Saccharomyces cerevisiae S288C: one gene and its partner. The protein of the gene in region 1 interacts with the protein of each later gene in a pairwise test. Each region holds a gene or a part of one and is shown on either strand. Other genes may lie near its edges. The genes, in order: MLC2 and MYO1.

Region 1 (3,344 bases):
CTCTGATCGTGATATGGGAATGGTCTCCTGTTTAAGTTCGGCCAGTGGCATTCCTTCATTATTTAGAACCTCTCCTCCCATTTGACAGCGATTTCAACAGTTACTACTGTGCTTAATGCCCTTATTTGATAGTTAGTTCTTCTTATAATAAATAATCATTGTATATTGATTATTCGTATAGTATGATATTTAATTGAAAAAAAAATTTTTTTTTTTTTAAGAATATCATTCAAAGGCATCAATCACAACCTTGAAGAAAGGCTAAAAAGACACATTTTGCAGGTAACAGTGTAAAGATTAAGGCTACAAGTGATCATGTCAGACTACGAGGAGGCGTATGTGCATTCATATTGGAGAAATTGCGTGCTTTAGTTTTAATTATATTTACTAACTTCTATCATTGTGATACAGGTTTAACGACGGTAATGAGAACTTCGAAGATTTTGATGTAGAGCATTTTTCTGATGAGGAGACTTATGAGGAAAAACCTCAATTCAAGGATGGTGAAACAACCGATGCCAACGGTAAGACCATCGTTACTGGTGGTAATGGCCCAGAAGATTTTCAACAGCATGAGCAAATAAGAAGAAAGACACTTAAGGAAAAGGCCATCCCAAAAGACCAAAGAGCAACTACTCCATACATGACCAAATATGAAAGGGCAAGAATTTTAGGTACAAGAGCCCTACAAATTTCCATGAATGCGCCAGTTTTTGTAGATTTAGAAGGTGAAACTGATCCATTGCGTATTGCCATGAAGGAGTTGGCTGAAAAGAAAATTCCTTTGGTTATTAGAAGATATTTACCAGATGGTTCCTTTGAGGACTGGAGTGTGGAGGAACTCATTGTGGATTTGTGATTACACCTGCATTTTCCTTTATGTGTATTTGCTTTGTTTGTATATTATTATAACTATAAAGAACGATTTATTTTGTAATGCAAATAACTGGACGAGAGAACCACGCTATAACCTATTTGGTAATAAAAATGTTTGTATGAATAAAAAAGCTGCTGACTGCTTTCTTTGATATGTGTATATAGAATATTTAATCGGTGATTGAATCTAAGAAAAGCTTACCTCTGAAAGTTCTCTCTTCGGTCGCTTGCTGATTTGTAGTAAACAATTTGAAAAGTTTAGCAAATTCTTCCTCAGGATTTTCAAAACCGGCTTCCTTTAAAGAATCAATGACCTCATTCAAGGGAACGTTTAAATCGTGTCCTCTTCCAATGGCTTTTAAACTTTCTTCCAATTCTTCACGCTCGGGAAACTGCGATAAGTTCTTCCCCATGATAGATAAGAATATGGGAAAGCTTACACCTTCTTCTCCAACTTCCGCGGTACTGGTGTCATTGTCAGGTACCATTTTGGACCATTCCTCATCTGTCAATGTCTTCCCCAATGTTGCATATATCTTGGTAAGATCTCCCCTACTAATCAGACCATCCTCATCCTCATCCAGCATTTGGAAAGCATCTTTGAGTTTATTTATGTAGTCCTGCGTAAGTTGGTTAAACGTTAGCGATTCACTATGGTCCATATCTACTTCAAGTTTGCTCAATAAACGATTCGAAATTACTCTTTTCTTAGCTGTGCATTGTATAGTTTAGAAATACGAGAAATGTAAAAAAAAAAATAAAGTTGGAAAACAACTAACTAATAAAACTTTCTTGTCAAGAAAGACACTAAGAACACAGAAAAGAAACACGAAGAGCAGAGGAAATATGTCGGATATTAAACAGCTATTGAAGGAAGCCAAACAAGAATTGACAAATCGTGACTATGAAGAGACCATCGAAATATCGGAAAAGGTTCTTAAACTAGATCCCGATAATTATTTCGCACATATTTTTCTAGGGAAAGCACTTTCGAGTCTTCCAGCTAGTAATAATGTCAGTTCAAATCGGAACCTGGAGAGAGCTACTAATCATTACGTGTCCGCTGCCAAATTAGTTCCTGATAACCTTTTAGCGTGGAAAGGACTTTTTCTCTTATTTAGAACCACTGAGGTTGTCCCAGACATACTTTCGTATGATGAATATTTTGACCTGTGTGGCCAATATGCAGACGCACTTTTAAAGCAGGAACAGTCTCAAGTAGAACTAATAAATGACATAAAATTACTAAAGAAAACGCATCCAGATTGTCAAAAAGCCTTTTATCAGCATTTGAAACCTGGGTCGCTAATGGCGGAAACTATTGGTCGTCATCTATCTACACCCCAGGACGCTTTATTAAATCTTATAAAGATACTGTCTAATATTGAAACAACGGAAATAGGTAAGACCCTTAGTCAGAACAGGTTAAAACTAAAAGCTAGTGATCCTGATTATCAAATTAAACTAAATTCATTCTCCTGGGAAATAATTAAAAATTCAGAAATTGATCAGTTATACAACCAGTTGGTAAATATTCTCGCTGACGATCAAAAGAGAAGTGAAATTGAGAACCAGTGGTTAGAATATAGAATCAAAGTGCTAAAATCAATGCCGCTGGATGTAAAAAAAGATTTTTTCACGAAAGTTAAGGAAATGGTCGAGGATATGGTTCTTGTGAATCATCAATCTTTGCTTGCATGGCAAAAGTATTTCGAATGGACAGATTACGAAGATCTGGACAACATGGATGCCCCATTGATAATAAAGTACTTTAAGAAATTTCCTAAAGATCCATTGGCCATGATCCTCTATTCCTGGCTTTCCTCAAAACTATCGAAATATGATATTAAAAGTTTGGAATCGGCTAATAAACCACCTGAAGGCCATAAAAAGACGGAGAAGGAAACAGATATTAAGGATGTAGATGAGACAAATGAAGATGAAGTTAAAGATCGCGTTGAAGATGAAGTTAAAGATCGTGTTGAAGATGAAGTCAAAGATCAAGATGAGGAGGCAAAGGAAGATGAAGAAGAAGACCTTGATGATATAGAAATTGGTTTATTAGAGGAAGAGGTTGTCACTGTATTGACGGAGAATATCGTAAAATGTAAAAATAATATCTTAGCGCATCGCATTCTTTGTCAATATTACCTACTGACCAAGGAGTATGAGGCAGCTTTACCATACATCAAAAATGGTATTTCTTTAATTGCCTATAATATAAAGGACCTGGGGGTACATTTGCCATTAACAAAAAGAGAATTTTCTCTGGATTTGGCTACCGTTTATACATATGTCGATGCCCCAAAGGACCACAATGCTGCATTAAAGTTATATGATAACATTTTATCCGGTGATTTTAGTAATATACAAGCAAAAATGGGCAAAGGTATAATTTTTATTGAAAGGAAAAATTGGAAGGATGCTATGACATTACTAACACAGGTGCATGAACAATCGCCTAATAA
Region 2 (7,703 bases), on another chromosome or scaffold:
ATTGAATCGGTTATTTTCTTTATTTTATGTACCACCTTTAAGACTACTATCGAAGGATACGGGGTGAAAGAGTTCATGCCACTTAGTATATAACGCTCGTGTCGTCTTTTTCTGTTAATAATGCATATTCTCATTCTGTATATACAAAACATCTCATCATTATTTTTTTAAATAAAGGATATAAAGTCTTCCAAATTTTTAAAAAAAAGTTCGTTAACTGAAAATTTTACTCTGTGCATTGTTACTATCAATATTTTTCGAGCCTATCATGGTAGATTCATAACGGCTTTTCCAGAATTCAATTTCTTGGGCCATTTCCTGCACTTTGTCGCGGTAAGAAGAATTATCTCTAATGGATTTTTTCATCTCAAGCTCTTGTTGAGAAATGTACTTTTCTAAGTCAGAGATTTGAGCCTCATATTTCAAAGTAGCTTCCTCAAATTCGCTTCTATTTTTATTCGCTAGTTCTATTACATCTGTTTGTTGGGAGTTCTTAGTTTGTAACTCTTCCACTGCTCTCTCCAAACTCTTGTTCTTTTTCATTTCTTCATATTTCAAGTCCGTTTCTAGGCTTACCATATTTTCCAATTCATGAATCTTTGATAACCATGCGTTTTTTTCAGTAGTGTCTGATAATCTTTCATGCAAATTTTTTAGTTGAAGCTGTAAGTCGGTGTTGAGCTTTTGTAAAGTTTGATTTTCTTCATATAAATCAATATTCTTCTGCTTCTCATCATCAAACTTATCTTTATATCCATTGCAGCTGGCCTGTAATGTCTTAACCAACTCCCCATTCCTTGAATTTTGTTCCATTTGCAGTTGTAGTGTTTCCTCCAGATATTTGATTTTTTCAGTAATCTCTTTATTCTTTTGTGTGGAACTTGAGAGTGCTGCGTTTGATATCTGTAGCGCATCAGTCTTTTGATTTAAGTCAGATTCCAGTTCCTGCTTGATTTTAGTCAAAGACACTATCTTTCCTTTAAGAGACTCGCATTCAGTATTGAGTGCCTCGTATTTCTGATAAAGTTCTTTTTCTGCAAGAGAAATAGCATCTTTTTCGTTGTTCAACATTTCCACCACTTTTGTATAATGATCGAGCTGCTTCAGCAGATCGGAGATTTTTGCTTCAGAATCATTAGTCGAAGTTTCCAGTTTGTACTTAAGGGTTGCAAATTCTTTTTTTAAGTTTGTTTCAGCTTTTAAAGAGCAGTTCAATTCTTCCTTTAATCTATTAATCTCATCCGTATATTGGGATCTATCTTCTACAGCGCTCAATCGCTCCTTTAAATGGGCCAAATCATCACTCAGGATTTTCTTTACATCTTGGACTCTCTTCAACTCCAGCAGAGTTTCCTGTAATTGCATATCTGAGTCATTTCTTTCCATTTCGCGCTCCCAGATTAACTTTTCCTTTTGCTTATTTTGAGTTTTCAATTTTTCAATGATAGACGCCATATTCTTTACGTCCTCTTCAGCTTGTTTTAGTGCATGAATATGTTCTCTTAGCCGCAGTTCATTCCCTTGCAGATCGTCCATGCAGTTTTCAAATTGCTGTTTCTGCTGTTTTATTGTGGATGATAGTAGTTCTTTTTGGCGTTCCGTAGATTCAAGGTCTTTCTGTAATCTGTCTAATTGTTCACTAAGTAGGGCTTCTTTGGATTTTGATTGCCTCAAGTCAAGAGTGAGTTGGCTCAATTTTCCATTTGATTCATTTAATATTTCTTGGAGCTTGTAGTTTTCAAGTTTATAATAGCGAATTTCTTCTTCATATTTTGAAATGCTATCACGGTTCTTTATAATATCTCCGACAGGTAAATTTGTTCGATCACGTAAAGGCATGGTTTTTAGCTTGTCTTCCAAGGATTTGACTCTTTCTTCACTGGCTTCGAACTTCAGTTTGTAAATATCAGAAGATGACAGGGAGCTTTCCCCTTGGATCTTTCTAAATTTACTGTGTAAAGCAGATATGGCATTTTCTGCATCGTAGTGAGCTCTTGTTTCGATATCCAATTGTCTTTTTAAATAATCGACCTCAAGCATTAATTTGTTAATATCAGACTCTTTGTCAGGGCAGTTATCTAGCGGCTCATTTAGAATACTGTCCAAAGGAATACTAGGGTCCATATCCTGGATCAATTTTTTTAATTTCTTCATTTGTGCCTTAATCTTTTGGTCCTCAAAAGACGAAGATGCTAGTCTTGTTTCAGTGAATCTCAATCTAGAAATTAAGTTCTTCTTCTCTTCAATTTCATTCTCTAGATTCCTAGTTATTTCAGTAAACGCTAATTGAAGGTCATAGTATTTTTTTATTATATCTTCTTTGTCAAGTGGATCATCTGAATACGATGTGGAACGTCTAGTAGACGAAATATTCGTTTCTACAGAATTTCCTGATATTCTTTTGTTTAAGTATTGATTTAAGGATATTTCCTGTGACAACCGAGCTTCCAATTCTTTAATTTTACTATCGTTCAGAGACTCAACCAGGCTATTTCTTTTCTTTTGCTCCTGTTCCTTCGTTTCTCTTTGGAAGTTGGAATATTCTTCTTTAATCTTTTGATAGTTAGATTTATACTCGGTAAGTTGGATTCTTGTCTCTTTTAGTTCAGCAGTAATTTTACCATGTTCGCTAACTGCGTCATCTCTTTGCTTGGAAAAAGTAGCAAGCTCTTTTTTGTGATTATCTATTTTTTCTTTCATCTTTAACAGTTCACTTTCCTTATTTTTCAACTGGTTATTCAGTGCTGCCTTTTCTTTCTTGAAATTCTCATTTTTCGAACGCAAATCTGAATTTTCTGTTACAAGGGATTGTAGTCTTGACATCGCAATGTTACAATTTTTCTCTAAAGTGACCAATTTTATGTCAAGATCTTCTTCTGAGGAACTTAACTTATCGTTGAACGATTTTATTTCTTCCTCCTTCGAGTTTATGACATCTTTTAATCTCTTTATTTCGTTTTCTAGCTTCAATTTAGATTCTTTGATTAAAGACTGGGAGCTCTGTTCCTTAGAAATGTCACAGTTCAAGTCTGATATTTGCTTTATTAGTTCGTTATTTTTTGAGTGTAATTTCTCTAAGGTCGCCTCCCGTTCTCTAATAGTTTCTTGAAGGCCTTGGATTTTTTGATGAGCTTCTTCAAGATTTTGCGCAACTTCTAGTTTTTCCCTGCTAATTTCATCCTTTTCAGAAACAAGGTCATCGAATTGTTTTTGTAATGTTTCTGAGCTGGTTTTAACTCTATTTAATAAGCTCTCATTTTTTCTTAAATTCTCTTTCTCCTGATTTAGCAAGTCCTGCGTATTTTCCAACTCATTGACAGTTTTTTGGTTCTTTTCTTCCAAAAACTTCTTCTTAGATTCCATTTCTTGAAGGTCGTTCTTCAGTTTATTAATTTGCTCGTTGAATTTTTTGGTTCTGGTCATGTCATTGGATGATGTTAAAAGTGGCTTGATCCTGATAAATAAATTAAACCAAGGATCTTCCTTCACCAGTCTATTGTATAATCTGAAGGTATTACCAATCACCCTTGTTTTCTTTAATTTTTGTAGATGGTACGTTATTTCTTTTCTTACTGTGTAACCTCGTATAGTTGCTGTTAGTTTAATCATAATATTATTCAGCTTAACATCTTTTTGTTTTTCCAAATCTGCCAATACTCCAGCTTTGAAAAACAGTTTAGTATTACCAATTTTATAAACTTTTGTATCCAGTTGCAAAGACGTTAGAAGAAACTCACAGTTTTGTTTGGTACTGGCTTTTAATTTAGAACTGAAAGTCGTGGTGGTTGAATTTTCAGGATACAAGATCCTATACCGCTGGAAAAATTCTTGGAATGCTATCCTATTTGGGTAACCTTCTCTGGCAAGTCTAATACCCTCTAGCACACCATTACAACGTAATTGATCTAAGATTAACCTTCTGTTAAATGTTTTCACTTTTTTCACGTTGTTTGGAATTATACAACGAACAAAATGTGGGTGGGTAGAAGCTAGTTGATTTAGTAATGTTATCTGCTGTTCTCTATGGCGTGATGATGTAGTCTTGAAGGTACTTGTCCTAGCTGATTTCTTAACTTCTTGGTTGGAGATGTTGGCTTCCACACCAGCACTAGAAGATTTTTCGCCCTCTGGCTGGAACAGTTTTGAAATGATATCGTTTTGTGAAGAAGACAACAAAGACAAGAGATTATCGTTTAAAGGATCTTTGTTTTTGGATAACCAGCCTTCCACAGTGTATTCCACATCCCCAGCATAGTGTTTCAAAATGAACCCATTTTTTAATCTTGAACGTTTAAACTTTGAAGAGTTTTGGTCCCAAGTTGAGATCAGTTTAGAGTAGAATGACTCATCAGTGGATTTGGGCAAAACGGCTTCCTCATCCAACAACGGTAGTACACCGGTCGGTGGCCCCTTGCTTTCGATCAAATCAATCGTCAGTTGCAAATCTTTTCCGTAATCTATATAATCCCATTGAATGTTTTCCTTTAAATATTCGCTCTGTTCTAAAACAAACATATGGTTATTAAAGAACTGCTGTAATTTTTCATTTGTATAGTTGATGCATAATTGTTCAAAGGAATTATTTTCGAATATTTCAAAACCAGCAATATCCAACAATCCAATGTAATTCAAAGTTGCACTCCCATGGTCCAAGTTTTTATTAATCATATCCACAATATATCCGAACAACCGCTCATAAAGATTTCTTGATAAGGCATTCAAGATGAACTTAGCTTGTTGAGAGTTTTTGGACTGTGAAACCCACTCTTTTCCGGCTTTTGATCTAGGCCTTAATATGGCAGTTTGGAAATCTTTTTCGTCCACGCCTAAATTGCTACAAATTGCGCTAACATCATTTTTGAAAGATGCTTGTTCTGCTCTGTCTGATACGAACTCAATGTTACCGATTAATAAAATAATTGCCACTACTTGAAATATCCATCTTATTTGATCTTTTGAAAACCCAATAATATTCAATGCCGAGAGCAGTTCTTTAAAATTCTCTACGTCGTTGATTCCTGGTATAATATCCTGGTTAGAATTGGATAAAATTTTGTAATCTTTTACGTTCCTAGATTTAAGGCGTAGATTTTTCAACTCAGAATCGTCTAAACCGGATAATAGTTGGTAAAATATATGATAATTTCTTTCTTTCGAATTTTGATGAACAATTCTTGATTTCTCTAAAAGGTACCACTCGATATGCGCACCATTGATCATACCATGTTCATTAAATTCTATCTTTATGAATTTACCGAATCTTGAAGAGTTGTTATTTCGTACAGTCTGTGCATTACCAAAAGACTCTAAGATAGGGTTACTTTGTAGAATTTTCATTTCGAAGCTTTCTACAATAGAACTACCACTAACAGGAGCTATATTGGAAGGAGAGCCAGAAGTTATAGATGCTAGATATTGTAGAATCTTTTTCGTATTTTCTGTCTTGCCCGCACCGGATTCACCAGTGACTAAAATAGATTGATCTTTTCCTTCAGATAAAAGATTCTCATAGGCTTCTTCTGCAATTGCAAATATATGCGGCGGCAGTTTTTCATGGGAGTTTTCATCCAATCTGCTCTTTGATAACCTGTTATGCTTGTTGTGGTACAAGTTTATATGGTCTTCAGAATATAAATTCAAATTGTGATAAGGGTTAATCGCCACTAAAAATAAGCCGGAATAGGTGTATATTAGATCACAATCGTACCTCTTTTCTAGGTTATAAAGCACAGACGGCTCATTCAAATGGGTTAACTCAGACATATTCTCTACTTTGTCAAAAGTCGATGGGTTAACTGGAAATACATCGGATATTCGTACCTGCACTAGATTAGAAACCTCTGTGGAATCCAACGGGTGGACAATTCCTATTTGTTCTTCTTGGCCTGTAAATTTATTCTTGTTGATATCGGTACTCATCAGCTCCCCTTTTACGAAAACTTCTTTCTCATCTGGTATCCAGACGATCATATTAGAACTGCAAGACTGCCCGCCGGTCATTATTGCTGTTGTTGTCCTGTCTAACTTTGTTATGATCTTCTAACCACGAAGTTCGCAGGATTCGAGATGTAATCAAGAAAAAAAAAGTAGTGTGGAAGAGTATGAATAAAGTAGCTGGTCATAAACAATGAACAATCAAAACAAATACACCAAGAAATTACAAATGTTTACGCAATTACCCTTTTGGGCTAAATGATGAAATCTCGAAATATTCCAAATTCCAAGGAGGGTAAGAAAAGCTATCTCAGCATTACCCTGTGAATATTTTTCCGATTTTTTTTTCACACCAAAAAAAAAGTAATGCTATACAATGACACATTTATGTAAAGGCTTTAACCCGGAAGAGAAAAGGGATATGTATGAAAATCAAATTCTCAAGAGGGGCTCGATTTTCAGCGACCTTTTCTTTTGATAAGTACCCTTTCTTGCTATACGAGGTGGTCCGATAATATGCCCCTCCTTTATCTTTTTGTTTAGCCTTTTGACTTCGTTTCACAATAGCATAAAACCATCCATGTAAAGGTATAAGGCAAGGTTTGCCTTCCACGTTGAAGTACTAAAAATAAATTTTACTTTTGACGGAACAATGAATGCTGCAAATATTCCATTGCGTGATTTGAAAAGCTACAATATTTGAAAAGGCAATGTGTCGCTTTATGAGTTAAAAGTGCCCTAGCTTGAGAAGGAGGTGATGCGTTACTAATGCTGTAACAAAGAAAATTTTGCGGACGGTTCTAATCAATCTTCCTGCGTCATGTCAGTGCGCTTTGTATGTCCTGCAGCAGTATTCGGGTAAGATCTTGACGGAGGAAAAAAAATGCTTTAATACGTAATGGTGCAACGATCTTCAAAAGGGATACTCAAGCGTAATATCCCTTTGTAAAAGCTACGTCCATTTTAGAGGAGATATAGGGATTAAGATTAACGCTTTGTTTAAAAGCCATGACCTTGATTATTAAACGCTATTTTTGTCGTCTAAACAATTTTTTTTTTTTGCACTTCTGATAAGTACAACTTGTAGAAGTTGTTTTTCATAAGAACATCAAGGGCAAAAAAAAATGTCGTAGAGATCGTCTATGCTTGCCTTCTTTGAAAAATCCTTTTCAAGTACTTACCTTAACGATCTTGGCTCGTTACTTATTATTTAATTTCAAAAAAATCTAAGAAATTTTCAAAGGAATATATACAGGGAGAATGTATATAAAGAAACGCTGAGCATGTAAATTGTATCTAGAGAAATTGTTAAGGTTCTGCTCTGTGTTGGCTATCCTATTTTTTTGTCTTTTTTTCTTTTAATTATACCGTATTAGGTCAAACGCTATGAGTGTTCGCTTATCATACGGCGCAAGCCTTGCGTCAATCCCAAGATGTTTCGACTTGAAATCTTCGAAGATTACTGTAATGGGGGATGATCATTCTGGAAAAACTTCTCTGGTTCGCAGTTGGCTAGGTAGTTCATTTCAAATATCAGATGCTAATCGTTATAGGGTTTCGGACCTCTACCACAAGACAATCCAATTTGATACTTTGGTAAAATACTATCGTACCTTTGGCGTAAAAGGACAGTTGCCGAATTATGCGGGTTTCAAAGCTAAAAACTCTGGCACAATTTATGAAAGTTGTGGCAATTTCCTAGAAGAGCGCCTGATCAATGCCAATAAATCGACTGCTCAAAGACGCACCAGTATTGATGTTCAAGTTTT

The links.
Region 2: the proteins of MLC2 (region 1) and MYO1 interact in binary tests that used the Saccharomyces cerevisiae proteins (3 or more experiments, as listed by UniProt).

Annotation. Positions count from the first base shown.
Region 1 is NC_001148.4:910,942-914,285, forward strand, and holds MLC2 (Mlc2p), read right to left. Parts: upstream 1,539-3,344; coding exon 1,047-1,538; downstream 1-1,046. Other genes in the region: PZF1 (Pzf1p), read right to left, coding at 1-81; DNA-directed RNA polymerase core subunit RPO26, read left to right, coding at 316-335, 412-859; SKI complex subunit tetratricopeptide repeat protein SKI3, read left to right, coding at 1,723-3,344. UniProt on the Saccharomyces cerevisiae protein: Regulatory light chain for the class II conventional myosin MYO1. May play a role in the disassembly of the MYO1 ring at the bud neck at the end of its contraction during cytokinesis.
Region 2 is NC_001140.6:149,963-157,665, reverse strand, and holds MYO1 (myosin 1), read right to left. Parts: upstream 6,001-7,703; coding exon 214-6,000; downstream 1-213. Other genes in the region: YHR022C-A (uncharacterized protein), read left to right, coding at 6,360-6,449; YHR022C (uncharacterized protein), read left to right, coding at 7,321-7,703. UniProt on the Saccharomyces cerevisiae protein: Required for cell division.